Linked DNA regions of Rhinolophus ferrumequinum. The protein of the gene in region 1 interacts with the protein of each later gene in a pairwise test. Links are inferred from orthologs where the notes say so. Each region holds a gene or a part of one and is shown on either strand. Other genes may lie near its edges. The genes, in order: BACH2 and BATF3.

Evidence for each region.
Region 2: the proteins of BACH2 (region 1) and BATF3 interact in binary tests that used the Homo sapiens proteins (3 or more experiments, as listed by UniProt). The link is inferred for Rhinolophus ferrumequinum from reciprocal best matches to the Homo sapiens genes BACH2 and BATF3.

The regions. Positions count from the first base shown.
Region 1 is NC_046286.1:46,785,248-46,794,627, reverse strand, and holds the start of BACH2 (transcription regulator protein BACH2), read left to right. Parts: upstream 1-5,169; 5' UTR 5,170-5,647; intron 5,648-9,380. UniProt on the Homo sapiens protein: Transcriptional regulator that acts as a repressor or activator. Binds to Maf recognition elements (MARE). Plays an important role in coordinating transcription activation and repression by MAFK.
Region 2 is NC_046305.1:19,656,294-19,665,219, forward strand, and holds the start of BATF3 (basic leucine zipper transcriptional factor ATF-like 3), read left to right. Parts: upstream 1-4,613; 5' UTR 4,614-4,815; coding exon 4,816-4,893; exon of another isoform or gene 4,894-4,927; coding exon of another isoform or gene 4,928-4,960; intron 4,961-7,544; coding exon 7,545-7,649; intron 7,650-8,926. UniProt on the Homo sapiens protein: AP-1 family transcription factor that controls the differentiation of CD8(+) thymic conventional dendritic cells in the immune system.

The DNA.
Region 1 (9,380 bases):
CTCTGGAAAATTACAGTGCTCTCTAGTTTGGAATACACTGATAATTTTTCAAAACTTGTGCAAGATTTTATGCAATGAGAAATGACTCTTCTTGGCAGTGGAATGCCCATAAAGACTCTAATAGTAACCCTCAAATTTCCTCTGTGCTCCCCAGCAGTCCTGCTTTATCACCTTGCACTAGTCCACACCTTTTCTCTCTCCTCCAACTCCCACACCCTTCTCCACCACCAGCTGATGAGCTCGCTTCTCAGTCTACTGAGCAAACAGAATCCCCCAGACAAGGACCCTCTGCATTTCCCCTCACCACAAACCAGCCTCCCTGCCCACCCCCACCCTAACTTACCTCCTGCTGCTATGGACCAACTGGCCCCACCCTTTAAATAAGTTCCATTCTCTGACTAAGAACATCACTCCAGAAGTTATCCCCCCTCTTTACATCAACGGTTTTCCCTCTTGATAGGCTTATTCCCAGCAATGAACTCTAATTTCTCCCATGACCCTCGGCTCACTTCCCTATTTTCTCTTTCACAGCAAAGCTCCTCTAAGGAGTGGCCTACACCCATTGCCTCCCCTTCGTCCTGCTCCCCCCACCCCCAAATCCACTCCAGCCAGGGTTTGTCCCTAGCACTCCTCTCTGTCAGATACCAAATTTAAAAGTCAGTGATGTGCCCTCATCTTACTTATGAGATGGCCCATCAGCAGCATTGACACAACCAGTTACTCTCTGCTTCTCAAAACATTCTCTTTTACTTGACCCCAGAAAGCTACACTCCCGTCTCCCCTTCTCTTACTGGCTGCTGTTTCTCAGCCACCTTGGCCAGGTCTCTATTTTCTTCATCTTCTGACCTCTAAATGTTAGAGTGCCCCAGGTCTCACTCCTCAGAACTCTTCTCCACCTATGTTCCCAGATTCTCTATGCTGATGACACACAGATTTCTATTTAGAGTCTGGACTTCTCTCCTGAAGTTTAGATTCCCGTGTTTAATTGCCTAATCAACTTTTCCACTGAGATGTCTCATAGGCATCAGCAATTTACTATATCCAAACCCAAACCCCTGAGCTCCCCCCACCCCCTTACCTGCTCCCCCTATAGCCTTCTCCGTATCAGTAAGTGGAATCTCTATCAATCAGCTGTTCAGGCTAGAATCCAGAATTTCCTTTGACTCTTCTTTCTCTCACATCCTACAATTGAGTCAGCAAGTCCTGTCTGGTTTAGTCTGAATATATATCTAGATTCCATTTATAGCTACCATGTAGTCCAAATTACCATCACCTCTCTTTTCGCCTAGCTCAATAACTTCTACCTGGTCCCTGTGCTTCTACTCTTGTACTCCCTTCCACTTAGCAAACAGAATGATCTTTCAGGAGATAAGGCCAGGTCATGTCCTTTCTCTGCAGAAACCCTTATAAATGTCTTCCAGTTTCACCGAAATATAAAGCTGTTGGCTATCCCTCTGGCATCATCTCCTGTTAGTCTCACCTGGAGCATGCCAAGTCCACTCTACCTCTGGGCCTTTGCACTGGCTCTTCTCAATATCTGAAAACCTTTCTCCCAAGATAGTTGCAGAGCTTGCCCCTCACTTCATTCACATCTCTGTTCAAATGTCCTCTCATCAGGGAGATCTTCCCTGACCCAATCATCCTAAGAATGGCACCACCCATCACGCCTGAGCTCCTTCACCTACTTTATTTGCTTTCACAGCACTCTTCACTTCCAGGTATTATACATACTATATTAGGTATGCATATCTATCTATCTATCTATCTATCTATCTATCTATCTATCTATATAGAAAAAGAGAGAGAGAGAGAGAGAGGAGAAGCCCATTGTCTGTCTCCCTCCCCATCCCAATCTTATTACTAGAAAGAGACTTCTACCTCGAAGCTTATAGAATAGCATCTGCCACACAATAGATGGCTCAACAATTGTTGAACAAATCACCACTCTAAGCTATTCAAATTTCCTCAGTTCTCCTAAATGTCACCTGTGCAGTACTGAGGCTTTATGGTTTAGGTATACACTTCAAGACATCTCGTTTTCAAATAATAAACTTTAGTTGTAATTCCGAGGAATTTGCCCAATGAGTAGAATTCAGTTTCTTCTTAACGGACCTTCCTTCAGTAATTGACTCCTCCTGGCTTTGGCATTCTCCATCTAAACATCCCGTTCCATTCTCTCTCATTGGATGTTAACTTTGCCCTGCTATGTCTCATTCAAAGTACCACATTTAAAATTCCGCCTAGGGTTTCAGGGCGGGAATTCCCACCCATTCTCGTGAATTATTTTCACTTTCCCATTCCCAAATTCTGAGAAAAGTTGGTCAGGAAATCGGGCAACTCGGCTCTTTGAACCCAGGTGGTTGGTAGTATCGGCCAACCGGTAGTATTTGTGGAAACGATTCATTGTGGAGAACAGAAAACAGTTTGTATCTCGGGATTCGGGAACAGGAAAGCCAAAAACATTTCCTGAGAACTGGCGGGAATTCCCGCCTGGAAACCCTAATTCTGCCTAAGAAAAACCAATGTATCTTTTCAACATCATCAGATACTGTACCAGGATGCTGAGGGATGAAAACATCTAAGACCCAAGAACTGCTTCCTTCTTTCTTCTGTCTTCCTTTCCTCATTTTTGTTTCTGGTATATTTTAATTTTTCCTATTTTATAAGCTCAAGGTGATTTATAGAAATAAAGTTTACTGACTTCAATTCTGTGGTACAATGTAATGGTCCCTGGAAATCAGATCCTGCTTAGAAATGTACCACAGATGAAGCCCATATTCCAGACCAACACACACATGTAATTAGGTAGGAAAAGAAAAAGTGTATCAGAGAAGGCTGGATGTTGCAGGCCTGGGAAATGAGTGGACCTCTCCTCAAGTTACTGCCTGGAAGACACAGAGGGAAGGGCCTGCATCTGTTTCGCATTGTAAATGCCTGAAGTGCCCACCGGGGCACCACATACCTAGGGAATGGCCAACGCACATTCTCGAGGAAGGTGCTAGGCCAGCCACAGCCTCACCTCTCCAGTCATCCTGTTAAAAGAATGTCCAGTGCTTGACTTACGATCCTCATTTCATACAATCCTGTGTATGTTTTACAGGATTTAATCCAAATAACCCATTTCTAACTATTGAAAATAAAATAATTCCCTACTAGACTGCAAGCTCCTCTAAGGCAAGATTTTGTCATATTCACAGCCACAGAGACACCTGATTGCAGTATTGGATGTGACCTTAGAGGTCAACTAGTTCTAATCAAACCTCCTTGAATGAGTAGATAATATAATCGATCACAGCCACATTCGGTTTTTTTCCTCTCTAATTGCTATCCCATACTTTTATCTCATACTTGAGAATTTCAAACTAAAACAGCTCCGGTTTGAGTCTTTGAAAAATAGACAAATTGAAATGACCACATAGCCTTTATTATATCCATCTGGGACCAGAAGCAAGGTGGCAAGGTCAGCTTGCAGCAGCAGCTCCCCCACTCCCACCCCCACCCGAAGATGATGTGCCCAGCTCCACTTGCAGCTGGGCAGCCACGGCCCGCTTGAAATCAAATGAATTTACATGACCCTCATAGGGATTTTCTCAAGCCTGGCTCTTGTGAGAAAAACATGTAGTGGTGCTTATTAAAATGCATTAAGTTATCATATTGACACTCGCATACTTACGAGAATAAGGAATACAGAAACTCACCATCCATCAGATGATAAGAAATGGCCCCACCAGGGCAGACCAAGGATCAGTATTCTGTCCTTATTAGGGGGCCAGACAGGGACCTCAGAAGCAGAGTGTTTCATCAAAAAGGGCACCAGACCCAAAGTCAGCAGACCTAGGACTGCTCCTAGGTCTGAGACTTTTCTTCATCTGAACACTGGAGAGGCTAGCAAAGAAAATCTCCCAGCATGGTTCTAGAGCTACAATACAGGTTGAGGCTCTGCAATACTGTTAGAAAAATGAGCTTGGCCCTTTCAGCTTCCTTGCCACCATCTCTTAGCTTTCCGGACAGACATTCAAAACTGGGCCTTCTAAAACTCTGCCCTCAAACGAAGGTGGTTCAGAGCAACACTTTAGCTGATATCACAAGACTCCCAGGGCAATGCTTCACTGCTTCCTCAGCATATGCCAGTGCCCATTTTACAGGGGAGGGGGGGATTTATGATCTTTCTCTCAGTAGAGCGAGCCAAAGTTTTATAATATTCATTAAAAATCAGCACCACATGTAATAATATGGAATACTGCCTGTACACAAGGGGGCCAAGTTATAGGTGTTCAGGGAAACGTGGCAGAATTTCCTGGCCTTCGCAGGGGTAAATTTGCAGGCACCAGCACTACTCTAACACAACCTTCTTTTATAGCAAATGTTCGTTCAGTCTAAGTCCTAATTACTTTCTGTAAAATCCTAACCACGATCAAGCTTTCCTTCTGACAGGACAGCCACACGATGGCCTTAAAATGCAGCAGCAACACCCTGGCAGCCTCCAGAGTGAGAGGCAGGGGAAAGGCTGGAACCCAGTAGGAACTGGGGCTGAAGCTGGGGAGAGTGGCTTTTCTGCGCCCCTTCTAAAATCCTGGTGTGGGGACTTAGAGATTCACTCAGTGGGACAGGCCGAGCCCCTCCAAAAGGATTCAAATGTCAACATCGCTAGTGGGTCGGAAGCTATTCTTCTTCGCCCCATCTCCACCCAAAAGGGGGCCGGGTCAGCTTTGTGGGGGCCCTGGAGCATCTTTTCTTGCTCTTCCTGAGAAATGCTAGACAACGCAAGAATCCCAGATCTGGAGGTCTGGCTCCCCTTCCTAGGTGTAGTGTCCTGGGCTCTGCCCCCCTCCCCACGTGCCACACCAGCCCTCACCACACAACGTCCCCACACCCCACTGGACCCCAGCCCTTGCCTTTCAAGGCCCCTGCGAGTCCCGGGCCAGGCCGGACGGAGTCAGGCGGTCAGCTGGGCCGGGAGCAGGGGGCTCTCTAGGCCGCATGGCCGCACAAAGCCCGGAGAGCGGCAGCGGCGGCGGCTGGGTGAGGCGCGCCCCCTCCCGCGAGCCGGCTGAGCGCGCGCACCCGCCCTCGCCCCCCGCCCCAGCCCCAGCCCCCGGAGCGCCATTCGCGGAGCGACTTACGCTAGTCGCCAGGCGTACGGCGCCCCAGCGGCCGGGGAGGTGCGCTGCCCGGCTCCCGTAAAGTTATTGTGAATGGGGAGCGGGTGACGTCAGCGCCGAATGTCAACAATGTAGCGATTGAGAGTGTGGGCGTTCCGGGGAGAGCGCGAGCTGCGCTGCGCGGAGCAAACAGCGCCGAGCCGCCGCCGCCTCACCACCAGCAGCCGTAGCAGCAGCGATCGTGCACGCCCGGGCTGCGATCGCAGCAGCGCTAACGTGAGCGCCCGCCGCCGCCCTCGCCATCCGCCTGCCCACTCCCGCTGCCGCCGGGCTCTCGCTTTCTCCCCGGCCTCCCCTCGATCATTCCCCTCCCCCTTCCCGGCACACTCGGGGGACTGGGAACGAGCTGCCATGTGATGCGTGTCCTCTCCTCGAGCTTTCGGTGACCCCCGAACCGACCACCGCGCCGGCCGCCGGGAGGGGGCTGCGGTCTGGGAAGACGCAGGGAAGAGGAGGCGGAAAAGAACGCAAAGTTCTCTGGTGAGGTGAGTCCCCCGCCCCGGGCTCCGGGGCCGGGCGGGGCGGCGGGGCAAGTTTGTGGGGGCAGTGGGTGAGCGGGGCGGGCGGGGAGGCGTGGGGGAAGAGGCGCGGGAAGAGAGCCGCGATCGCCGGCGCGCAGCCGCCGGCTGAGCACCCTGCCCGCTTTTATGGCATTTTCTAGGAACTGGAAAGGGGTGGGAGCCGGGCGGGCGGACGCGCCGCGGCAAATGTGCGCTCTCTCGCCTGGCTGTTTACCGCGGGTGAGGCGGCATTGTATTTTGTTCGCGTCGACGAGTGTTTTGGAACAGTAGGGGGAGGAGGAGCGGAGGGTAATAAGTCAGGCGTGGGGCGGGCGGTCTGGAGGGAGGCGCGCGTCCGCGCGAGCGGGAGCAGCTGTCAACCCCTCGGCCCGGCTCCGGGCCCGGAGAGGCCCGGGCGCCCCGGCCCCCAGACCGTGATCTCCGCGCCTGGCCAGACCGCGTCCAACCCGACCGCGGCGTCAGCACCCGGTGCTGCGCTGCAAGGACCCCGGCCGCCGCGCTTTTGCGTTTAGCTGTCAGTCGCCGCAGGAGAGTCGGTACCACTGCGACTGGCAGGACATCAAAGCCCAAGTTTAGAGTCCGGGGAAGAGGCAGATTGGGGCCTTGCAGCGCCGACCTCGGGCTGCGCGCTGGCTGGAATCCCTACTAGCCAATGACCGGGTTATCGGAATGCGTCTCTGGGAAGGCAAACTGCGGGGCTCGTGCCAGCAGAGAGGGGAACCTTGCATATCCCTCCTCCCAAGATTCTGCATGAAATCAAAGTCAAACACACACATACACCCATCCTCTTCTCCTTCTCCACACTTCAGTCTCCAAGCCCCAGAAGCTCCACCTAAGGAGAGGAGTTTATCCAGAGGACACCTCTCTACCTCCCCATGCGGAGGCGCGCGGTGGGTCTCGCAGTTCTCTCACCCGGTGGGTGCTCAGGAGTCAAGCGCCCTTGGAGAGGGCGGCGGGCGGCGCTCACGGACTACCCCAGCTGCCCGCAAGAGGGGACTCTAGTGAGCATCTCGGCGACCTCGGTCTGGCCGAGGGTTTGCAGGAACTCGGACTGTAGGAGGAAGCGGGCCGGGCCGGGTGTATGTGTGTGAAGGGGGACGCGTCCCCCAGGCTTCCCGGGTCGTGGGTACGCGGGGTATCCTCAGCTCCCTCTCACGTGTAGGCGATTTTGACAACTTGGGGAAAGTTCCGGCCCAGCCGCTGTCAGGCTGGGTTTGTTTGTGGCCGGAGAAAGCGCGCTTTTGCAGCTCGCGGTCAGCGAGATCCGTGGCCCCTGAGAAACAAGAAAGACGAGGGTGCCACAGACTCCTGGACCGCTGGCAGATAGCGAGCCACGGCGTTCCTGGGTTTTCACTTTCGCTGTCTAGTGCTGCAGTCTCTCACTCTCTGTGTAAATTTCATCTGTTGAGTGTATTTTACTAAAAAGGGTAATTACTTTAGATAAAAATCCTTTCCTGCCTGGTGGGAACCTTGGCGGAGATGATGCCAAATGAGATATTTTGCTTTTGTCTATTTAGAGTAAAATTAGAGATGTTAAAACTCTGATAACGGTTTTCTCAGATCATTAAAATGTAACGTGTAGGAAAGGAATGTCGAGCTGCGAAGGCTCTGGCTGACATGAAAGAAGCTGAGCATGAAAGGCTGGCTGCCACTTCTGGTGGAGAGGGCTATTTTGGTAAGGCAGAAAAAGTCTTGCTTAAAATGTAAGATTGCCCCACCCTGGTTCTCCGACAGCTCTCGAGTAAACGGCATTTTTCATTCTTGCAGGTAATAATAAACGTGAGTCAAAATGACATCTTGTTAGAATTAGTCTTTAGTCTGTAAGAGAGATTGCTAAATTATAGTGTTGCATTCAAACTGCTCCAGTGAAAGATCTGTCATCATTTCTATTATAAATTCAGTTTTTTTCAGGAGTTTATAATTTCACCACAAAACTTTGAGTGGCTGAAATGTTTTTCTAGTGTTCTGGTTTTAAGAATGCATTGATTGCCCACTTCCATCCTATTTGCTATTCTGGAAAATTAAAAAGCATTGAAATGGGGGGGGTCCCAGAAATGGAATTCACAACCACGGAATAAAGTGTTTTTGTTAGAACATTATTTGTGCAGAGCAGTATTTTCATTTTGGATTTTGGAAGGCTTTAGGTTTGCCATTTGGTAATCATAAATGTGTTGAATTAATTCTTCTGGTATCTTTGGATTCTGCAGGTGGATTGAAATGTCAGTTTGTATTGTATACGCCAGGATTATATCTAGAAACATTCCCCTCATATATGTGTATATCTGAATTCATCGCTAAATTATGAACACCCCTGTTAGTTACTTTTCAGTTCTTTGTATGTTGTTGCATTTGAGGATCTGCCATAGAGAGGAAGGAGTAAGGCAGAAAGGGAGGGAGGGAGTCAGGACTCCCCCACCCAATTCACTTTTCAGTATTACTAGTGCCTAGGAGGAAGCCATTTATTCTTTCTATTGAATTATGCCTTTGACCCAGTGTCTTCAGGCAAGTCCCTTCCAGTGGCTCATCTCTGGCTGCTGTGTGAGGGGCTTAATTATTTGCAAACTGCCTTGAAATCCCTGGATGAAAGGCACTGCATAAGTGCAGAGTATTGCTATTCAGATATGGAATTTAATGATCCATTACAGTTCATCAGGAAAATGCACTTTGCAGTGATGGTAGGAAACGTTTCCACCTGATAGAGGGTAATAATAACTGCTTAAAAGTAGGTTCAGATTACAGATGAGACAATTAACTCTGGCCATGTGCTCTTCAATTTGTTGCAATTCATTTTGTGATCAAAATGAGTCGGGGAGAGCCAGATGGTCAGGTTCATGTTCAAATCTCTCCTAGGCCACCCCTTCACTTCTGGGACCACGGTCTGCACAGCCAACAGGACTTCCTCATTAGCGCTGCGAGCTATTCCTCAGAATTTGTGATCGAGGCTCCTGTGATGCCAACAAAAGGGCTCAGGCCAATCTATTGTTGGGAGCAGTTTAATTTTACTTGGATTAAGTAGTGCTTAGTGACCCTGGTATGGATCCAGCCTTCACAAGGGAAGAGAGCGATCCCAGTGGCTCTCCAGCTTAGCTGTGCCCGTCTCCACTGCCCTAGTTTTTGTACCTCAGATTTCAGGGGCTTTGGTGCCTGGCTTGTTGTAAATGCTGGTTTGACGCAGAATGAATGACAGAATATTCAGATAAATAAATACCCTTCCTGTTTGGCTGAGGGGGTGGGGAGCAGGACCAGCTTCACGGGCACGTGACCTGCACCATCACACAGGCCCCCCTCTCCCTCTCTGCTCAGAAGGACCTCACACTTGGTTTAATCTTCTGCTGTTGTCTCCTTGAAATCTTAATCATTCTTGAACACAGGGCTCTTCATTGTCATGTGTCACTGGTCCTGGTGAGGGAGGAGGGCATAGGCTGGAGTGGCAGGTAACTACTACTTTGTCTCAGCTTCTTTTTGTCAACTGTTGCCAGGTGCAAATGGGTGGGAATGTTGGGTTTGTGTTGCCACGTCATCTGATTTTTCCAAAGATTTTTATGTGGAATCCCCTAATTTTTAAATATTAGCTCAAAAAAAGAAATTCTTTTAATGTTGGATGAGAACACGTGTAAGAGCCATAGCTGGCCTGCAGGTTTCCACCACGAAACAGGCTAATACATCTTGTTGCTTAATATTCCCGTATTCGCTATTT
Region 2 (8,926 bases), on another chromosome or scaffold:
TTGTATGATCGATTCTGCCTCGTTATCGGATAATCAGACAATACAAGAGCTTGTCCATTGCTTTTGTATGACATTGATCTCTTCTGACTAAATGAATTATTGCTTCTAGCATAATCTGAAATTTGTTTTTACAGTTTGCTGATTGATGTCAGAACATTTTCTACTGATTTTAATTTATCTTTATCTCTTTTTTTAACATTTCATTAATTTTACATATTTTTTCTCTGTCTTTAAATATATAAATGAAATTAGAGATGACAAAGGATTTGTTCGCCCTTCATTTACGAACAAATCAGGAGTCTGTACTTTCTAGCTTTTACTGAAAATGTTCCAGAACGTATTTCCAAAGAGCAGCTAAAATGTCATATTCAAGCTTTATGAAATATGCCACTCCCACTAACAAAGAAAATACCCTTTACGATACATTTATAATTGCATACGCTGAATTTTTTATTTCATTCCTGGCAGGTGAGAATGCTGTTTTGACGAGACGTAAACAACTAAATCCTCTGCTTACAATTTTACATGTGTGACGATCTGAACAATTTGCAGAGATTAGCTTCTGGGGTTGTATATTTCAAACCTTCTTTCTCCTCTGCCATCCTAATAGGCAACACCAGGTCTCAGGACAATGTCCCTTGTCAGGTGAGTTAGCATGGTGGGCAGTAGGAATATCCTGCCATGCAACTAGCAATAAATGGTTCTAGATAGAAGTGACTGCGAACCATATATATATGGTGTGTGTGTATACATATACACACACACATATACGTGTATATCTGATTAACCTTCCTTTGCAAGCTCCTCCCAAATGCCCACAGCTACTTCAACACTACCAGACCTGAAGGGACTGAGAGGAAGTTGGGGTAAAAAGAGACAGTGGTCTTAGCCATTTTGGTTAAAATGTTCCACGTTTGCAAATTTTATTTCAATCTTTCCCCATGTGAACACTGCTCGGGCCTCTTCTGGGCCTTGAAAGGGGCCTGGATGTGAGGGGTCTTAAAGCTTTGCTCATTGACTTCCTGGCAAATTTGCCTCAGCCTCCAAAGCTCTCACCATCATCTCAGCCCTCTCTCCTGAATTGTTTCCATCGCCTGGTGGCCCTGCATGACCCGGCCCATTGACTGTCTGACCTCATGTCTTGGTATCCAGTGCTTCCTCACTCTCCTCCAGCCTCCTACAGCTTCTGGAATAGCCAGGCACGCTCCCAAGGGGGTCTTGCCTTTACTGTTCCTGCAGCCTGGACTTCTCCTCCCAGATAGTGGCATGGCTCCCTCTTTCACCTCCTTGTTGACCTCCCCTCACTACTCAATATTTCTTGTCCCTGCTTTATATTTCTCCAAAGAATGTATCACAATCTGAATACTGTGTTTTGTCTATTGTCTGCCTCCTCTAGAATGTGACCTCCATGAGGTGCAGGTCTTCGTTCTGTTCACTGCCATGTCCCAGTGCCGAAAACAGTGCCTGACACATGACTGATTTTTGGTAAATGCAGGGATCTCTGCCTTAACCTTTCCTTTCTCTAGCCCTACCAGAAGTCCACAGGAGCACCTTCTGAGAAAGGTCAGTGAAAGTACACTTACTGGATGGCCACTTTCCCTCAAAGAGAAGAGCAAAGGTGAAATAGTGGCAGGGTTTTTTAGCATTTGAGCAAATGGCATTTATAAAGAACCATCTTCTTGTGAAGTGAATCACCAGAGGATTTGATCACTGACCTGCACCTCCTCCTGCTGTCCTGGAAGATGTAATCCAGGGTCACTGTGGTAGTCACAGGAAATTGCCAGATCATGTAATATAATTTCTCTTCCCAGTTCAAAGGAAAAAACACAAATCAAAAGAAAAGGCAGAAGAAGGAGACATTTAAAATGTTTATTGTTGTTTATCTTTTCATTTTTCTTTCTTCTTCTGACCTAGAATAAAATGAACCAGAAAATATTACAGAAAAGCAAGAAAAACAGGCTGTTATTAGAGCATCCCACTTGGTCAGAGAAGTGTTGGCATTCTGGTGTCACAAAAGAGCTTAGTGCCAGGGAAAGCAATATCACCTGTAAATATTAAATGTTTTAAGATGCTAATGTAATACAACATTTTCCAGATAGTTTAAAAAAGACAAGTAAAAGCAATTATAATCCCTCCACCATGACAAGTAAGTTAGTACTTTGGTGTATTCTTTTCTAATTTTATTCTCATATGCATACACTTTCTCACTGTGGTAAAAAATACACAACATAAAATTTACCATCTTAACCATTTTAAAATGTATAGTACAGTAGTATTTTGCATACATTTTTATATACGTTATATGTATACTCTTTGTATGCTGCTTTTTTCCCCTCACTTTACCTCATATCAAATAAATCTTACAGGTGGCAAATTTGTCTGCATGCTTGGAATTTTAAAGATGTATAATATCCTATCACATGGCTATAACATTTTATTCAGCCATTCACCTATAATTGGACATTTATGCTGCTTACAATTTTTCACTTTTCAAAATATTATGAACTTTTAGTGCATATACTATTTTTCTCTTTACTATTTTTGATGATATTCCTAGGATAATTTTCTAGATGTTTTCTAGGGAAAACAAAGTCAAGAGTGATGACTCTTGCATGGTTCTTAAAAATTACAATAAAATTGCTTTCCAGTAGGTTTGTATCAGTTTACAATGATGCCAATGAAATATGAGAGTACCAATTTCACCATACTCTCACCGACATTTGTTACAATCTTTTATTTTGTTAATGTAATATTTTTAAAGGTTTTATTTTTCTTATATCTATTTTCCTTGATCATTTCTTCTGTTGAGAAATGCCAGTTCATGTCACTTGTGCATTTTACTTTTGGGAGGTTGTTTTGATATTTTTCTTGTTCCTTTTCATGGGCTATATACACACTTGAGATTTTAACCCTTTATCATATTTACTGTGCTCCCCCCTGAATGGGTTTTTAATTTTGGGTCATACTGTCATCTAAAGCAATTTAACATTCTTATATGGTTCAGATCTTTCCAATGTGATTTCTCCTACCACATGATATCTCAGAAAACTCTTTCCAGGGTATCTCGGGGCTTTAATAAAGAATTGAATTCTGTTTTACCTTCCTAATTTTATTTTCTATATTTAATTATTTAATCCATTCATTTTGATGTATGATAGGAAGGTCAAATTGATCTGTTCCTTAAATGCTAACTAGTTAACCAAGACTCCTCCTTTACATATATTTGAAGGAACACTTGAATAACTAAGACAGTAGTTATGAAGAGTTTTTGTGTGCTGGGGCATGGTTTCAGGCCCTGCGGGAAGCCAGGTGGAAGGGACAGCCCCAAAGGACTTAGAACGCACTTCAGCTCCTTGAGAAAAGTGGCGATAACCAGAATGAAGTGTGGGACTGCACCTAAATGTCTTTTCCTTTCAAAATCATAAACACTGGAGGAATGAAAGCACTTCTGAAAATTAAAGACCACTTGACCCAGAGGTCTTCCTATCTTGTTAGAGTCCGTGTAAGTTTCCAAGACTTAGGGCTCTCAGTTGACCTGCAATAAACTTACTGAGCATGCAGGTGTGGAGTGCTGTGCTAGGCACGTTGTGTGTGCCTGTGTGGGACGCAAAGTAATCGCTCTGGGGCGACGACGAGTTATGTAGAGTGATGCCAAGGATCAAAGGAAGATGAGAAGATAAATCTAGGCAGATAACCGAGTATAGAGATGGCTCCGTTGTGCAGCGTTGATGGTGTGGGGAAGACACTGTCACTATAAAGAGTTATGCCCACCCTCTGTCCTCCCCTGCCTCTCACCTCCACTCTCCGCTGAGTTGGTGGAAGCCCCTGCCCACACAGACAAGATTCGCCACTTTCTTTCCAATGCTGGGCCAGGCAGCCAAGTTCACACAAGCTGCGTTTCACAGTTTTTGCAAGGGTCTTAAATCCTGGTGGAGAGCCACGTGCACGAGACTCAGAATCAGAAGTGCCCGCCCTTATCCCCGTTGCTCCCCGGAGCCTGAAAACTCAAGTGACCACGTTGGGATGGCACGTGACAAGAGGAGTCAGTGCTCCCTCAGCAAGGCCCTGGGGCGCGGGTGGCCCTCACGGCGCGCTGTGGGCTCAGTGAAGCCGATGGCCCTCTTCCCTGGACTGCGCCTCCAGGGCGGGGGGCCCGAGGGCTGCGGGAGGAGTGAGAGTGGCGCCGGGTGACAGATCGCCGCGGAGAAAGTCCCCCAGGACTGTGACCCCTGCGCTGGGGGGAGGCGGGGCCAATGCTCAGGAAGATGTAGTGAAGAAACCACCAACCCCAAACCACCCACTTGTGTTTCTCACCCTGAGTTCCCCGAGAGCAGTCCTGGACCCCACAGGCTGCACTGCGCCCCCCTGACCCCCAACCTCCCCAGCGTCGCCTCCTGTGGGTGGGCTTCGAGTTCCCTCCAGGTTTCGGAACCACCACGTGACTTCCACGAAGAGCTGGGGGCCCCAGCGGAAAGCTGCGACAGGGGTGGGATTTGGGACCCCGACGTGCGGCAAGAGGAGGAAATGAGGCGGGTTGGGAGAAGGAGGGGGCGGGGCAGACTTGGGGACGTGAAGGACCGCAGGCTGGGACGGGGGTGGTGAAGCCGGGAAGACGCGCAGCGGCAGCACCAGCGCCGAGAGCGGGAAGCCCTAGGGGCGGGGCGGGGGCCTGGCGGTCTGCAGGTGCGGGCGCGAGGATGCCCGTGGCTGGAGAGCTCCGGTAGGCAGCGCCCCGCGTGCAGGGCGCGGCGGGCCGCGCGGCCGCTCCTCCGCGAGGCTGCGCGGCGGGGGGGCCGGACCCGAGGAGCACCCGGCATGTCGCAAGGGCTCCCGGCTGCCGGCAGCGTCCTACAGAGGAGCGTTGCGGCTCCTGGGAACCAGCCGCAGCCGCAGGTAGTGAACTAGAGGCTCAGGGAGGGCGGCAGGGATGCGGGGATCCGGCATCGGGGAGGGCGAGGAGGTGGGTACTGGGGTCCCGGAGTGCTGACGCTGAGTGCGGGAGTGGGGGCGCGAGAGCGGTCCAGGGGCGTACGCATGGTACCCGCGGCGTCCGGGATGGTGACCCGGCTCCTGTGTCTGGGCAGGAGAGACCCGAGGAAGCCGAAGCCTGGCTGGGTTCCGCACGGTCCACATTCCCCAGCACGCGTGGCCAGCGCTGCCCCAGGTGCCGCACTATCCGCTTGCTGCCGCCTTCGCGTGTGGCCCTTCCCGGGAGCTCCGAGTGAGGGCCAGGGCGTGGAGAGGGGAAATTCAGCCCGAAGGGGCAACTCAACCCAGGCACTCCCAATATCTACCCTCCTGCTGCCTGAATGGGGAACTCAGGACCGAACAGCCTAGGGATGCGGGGTGGGGGCCTGCAGTGCGTGGACTCCACCCCCAGCGCTGGTGGAAACCCCTCGCCTGCAGCCAGTCCTCTGCGCTGTCCCGGCAACCTTTACAACTGCGTGGTCTGGAAACTGGAGACAATGTTGCCAGCAGGTTGTGCTGTCAGAGACTTCCCACCCAGGTGCCGCAGGACTGAGTTTTTCCTCGTTATGTCCCCCTTCTCAGTTCGGTGCCTGGCATAGAGCGTCATCAGGTGATGCTAGAGCCCCACAGATCTGAGTTTGGACCTCGGTTTTGCCACACAGGCTGAGTAGCCTCGGGCACTTTGCTTAACCTCTCGGAGCCTGCGTTTTCCCACACGTAAAATGAGTACATATAATAATACCAGCCTGTCATGATTTTTGTGAGGAGTAGTTGAGATATGGTTAATAATATATGAATATCTCAACACTTTGCTCCCCTATTTCTGTCTTGATAAATGTTTCTGCTGGGTTGTCAGGTGGGGCCATATGATGATGATGATCCAGTTTAGAGTGTGGGCTCCCAGAAGGCAGGCTGCATTGTGCCCTATGACTTTCCAATTATGAAAAACAAAGAGGTACCATTTGGAGACAAGCACGGGTGGGCAGGACTCAATACAAAAGGACAGCAACCTCAACAGAGGTTATTGATGGCATATGTGTACTGGGAGCTTTAAGATAAAGTCTTGTTTTATCTCATGCCAAACCTCAAACTTTAGGCTGTGGAGAGTACTTACCAGTTTGTTCCAGGCACTATCTCCAGTGCCTGGCACATGGCAGGTACTCAGTTGACACTATTGAAAGAATAATGAATCACACTTACAATAAATGAGAAAACAAAATTCAGAGAATGTGGTCCCCAAGGCCATATTGACAGTAGAAGACTAAACCAGGAGCTGTGTTATTTCTAAAGCTAAAGTTTTGTCCTCTATACCACATTTCCCCCCTGTGGTGTTCTGGTTCTGTTTATCAAAATTACGTTTCCTCTGAAAGACTACATTGTAACACCTTGTGTCTGTTCCCTTAACTGTCTCCAGGCCTCTTTTATACATTATGCTATTTATGTACATGTCATTTACTCTTCTCCTTTTATAGCCTTGTAGTCCTTGCGTATGCTGAAAATTCTTTCCCTGCAGTAACTTGGGGAGATAGTATGTGTCTCTCTTATTTGGAATACAAGACCAGATAAAGTGATAACTGAAAATATCCATTATTTTATGTTATCAGTGTTTGCTTTAAATTAACATTAATAATTGAATAGCTTTCCTATGTTTGTATTCTACTAACCTCTTGGCTTTTGAATGCTTTAAAGGTAGTTTTCTCCACGTGCCCCTCTTGGTATCTTCTCACAGTTTTCTGGAAGGCAAATGCTACTTTCCTCTCCATGTTTTCTATAACTGAAGGAAGTGTTTTTACCATGGTAGGTGCATTTTGCTGCCTGCCTGTTTCAGGACAGATAACTCTTGGAGGATTTGACTAGATTTGGCTACATCTCATATATATATATATATATATAGCTAAGGGCTTTTAAGATACATCATGAATTTGTTTTCTGATTTGCTCTGACCTGTGAAACAAAATGTCAATCAATCATAGTCCAAATGAGCATATTGTCAGTGGTGTTCAATCATTCGCTGTGCTGGTAGAGTCATGTGGTTACAGTGAGTTATAAGTGTAGTCGCGATCTATACACAGTATCTAAAGTACCTGTTTTGTGTGTGGTGGCGTAAGACCTGGCACATGGCGAGTTGCAGATAGCAGACGGCTTCTGCCTTTTCCATTCTCAGATGAAAAGCACTGACACCACAGCTCTTCCAGGCACACGCCCTGTGGGGTAGGGGTTTATGAACGTTGGTTTGGAGCCCAACAGACCTGAGTTCCACTTCCCATTCACCCACTTACTAGCTGTAGTACCTGGAGCAAGTCCCTTAACCTCTCTGAGTTTCTTATTCCTCATCTTTTAAATGGCAGCCACTCCACATGTTTCTCAGGGTGATCGTAGGGAATAACAGCTAGGTGAACTCATGGGGAGTGCTGCTTAACAAGGGCCACTGTTAGCTACCTCGCTGATGTAGCACCAAGCGCTGCTGTGACTGCAAATAAAAGGGTGAAGACTATGAGCAATGCTGAGTGAAGAGACCAGGCAAACGGGTGAGGCGAAGGACCTCCATTCACTCCTGACCACACATTCCCCCCCAGAGCCCAGACGACGATGACAGGAAGGTCCGAAGGAGAGAAAAAAACCGAGTTGCTGCTCAGAGAAGTCGGAAGAAGCAGACCCAGAAAGCTGACAAACTCCATGAGGTGAGACTGAGGTGGGGGCAGAGCCACGTGAGGGCCCCCGGCGAGGGCCCCCTCCGTCCTTGCACTTTGATAGTGGCCCTGAGCTCACTTCCTGGTCATCACCAATTTGGCCATGTGCACGTCTAATTCTGCTGCATCCTTCCAGCCCAGCGTTATGATTCTTCGCTGACTGGCCTCTTGATTTCTCCCTCACCCACTAGTTGCGTCTCACACTCACATTTCGTTCATTATAAAACAAACCATACCAAACCTGCTCTTGATCCGATTTCCTTTCAAGCTAGTGCCCATTTCTTTTCTTTCCTTCCGTCAGTTCCCTGCTCCTTATAGAGGGATTTGCTTTCTCTATGGCCTCCGTTCCCGTGTATTCTTCAGTCCTCTGTGATTTTGTTTCTGCCCTTTCCCCACCAACACACACACACACACACACACACACACACACACACACACACAATCCTACAGAAGCTGCTCCCACTGAGTCCGCTCGTGCCCTGGCATTGCCCGAATCAGGGAACTTGTTCTAGTCTCGTCATCCTTCACCTCACTGGAACATTGGATGCCATTGACCTTCCCTTCTTGAAACCTTCTTTCAAGGTCTTTAGCTTCTAAAAGACCACATGTCCTACTTCTCCTGACCCTCTTAAAAAGCAGTCACTTTTTTTCTCAGTTTCTTTGTTAGATTTTTCTACCTCTGTTTCTTTAAATGTTGTTGACCAGGGTTTCAGACTCTTCCCTTTATCCTTCTCACCATGGAAAATTTAATCTATAAGTCTGTTCTCCCAACATCAATTATGTCAGGCAGGACCGCTGTTCTAGCCCTCACGCCATACCTCCGGTGTTTCCAAATGGGTCTGCTTGCTGCAGGCTCCTCAGATGCAACATAGTCATAATAGAGGATTGTTACTCCTGAGATGTTCTATTCCTACGGTCTTCAATTTGTTCTTCATGGTGCTACCTATCTTTCTCATCACCCAAATTAGGAACCTGGGATTTATTCTAAACTTTCTTTTTTTTTTCTTTTAATGTTAGTTGCTATTAATGTTAGCAACGCTTTTTTTTTTTTTTTTTAAGATATTTTGGGGAAGAGGAACAGGACTTTATTGGGGAACAGTGTGTACTTCCAAGCCTTTTTTCCAAGTCAAGTTGTTGTCCTTTCAATCTTAGTTGTGGAGGGTGCCATTCAGCTTCAAGTTGTTGTCCTTTCAGTCTTAGTTGTGGGGGGCGCAGCTCAGCTCCAGGTCCAGTTGCTGTTGCTAGTTGCAGGGGGCGCAGCCCACCAT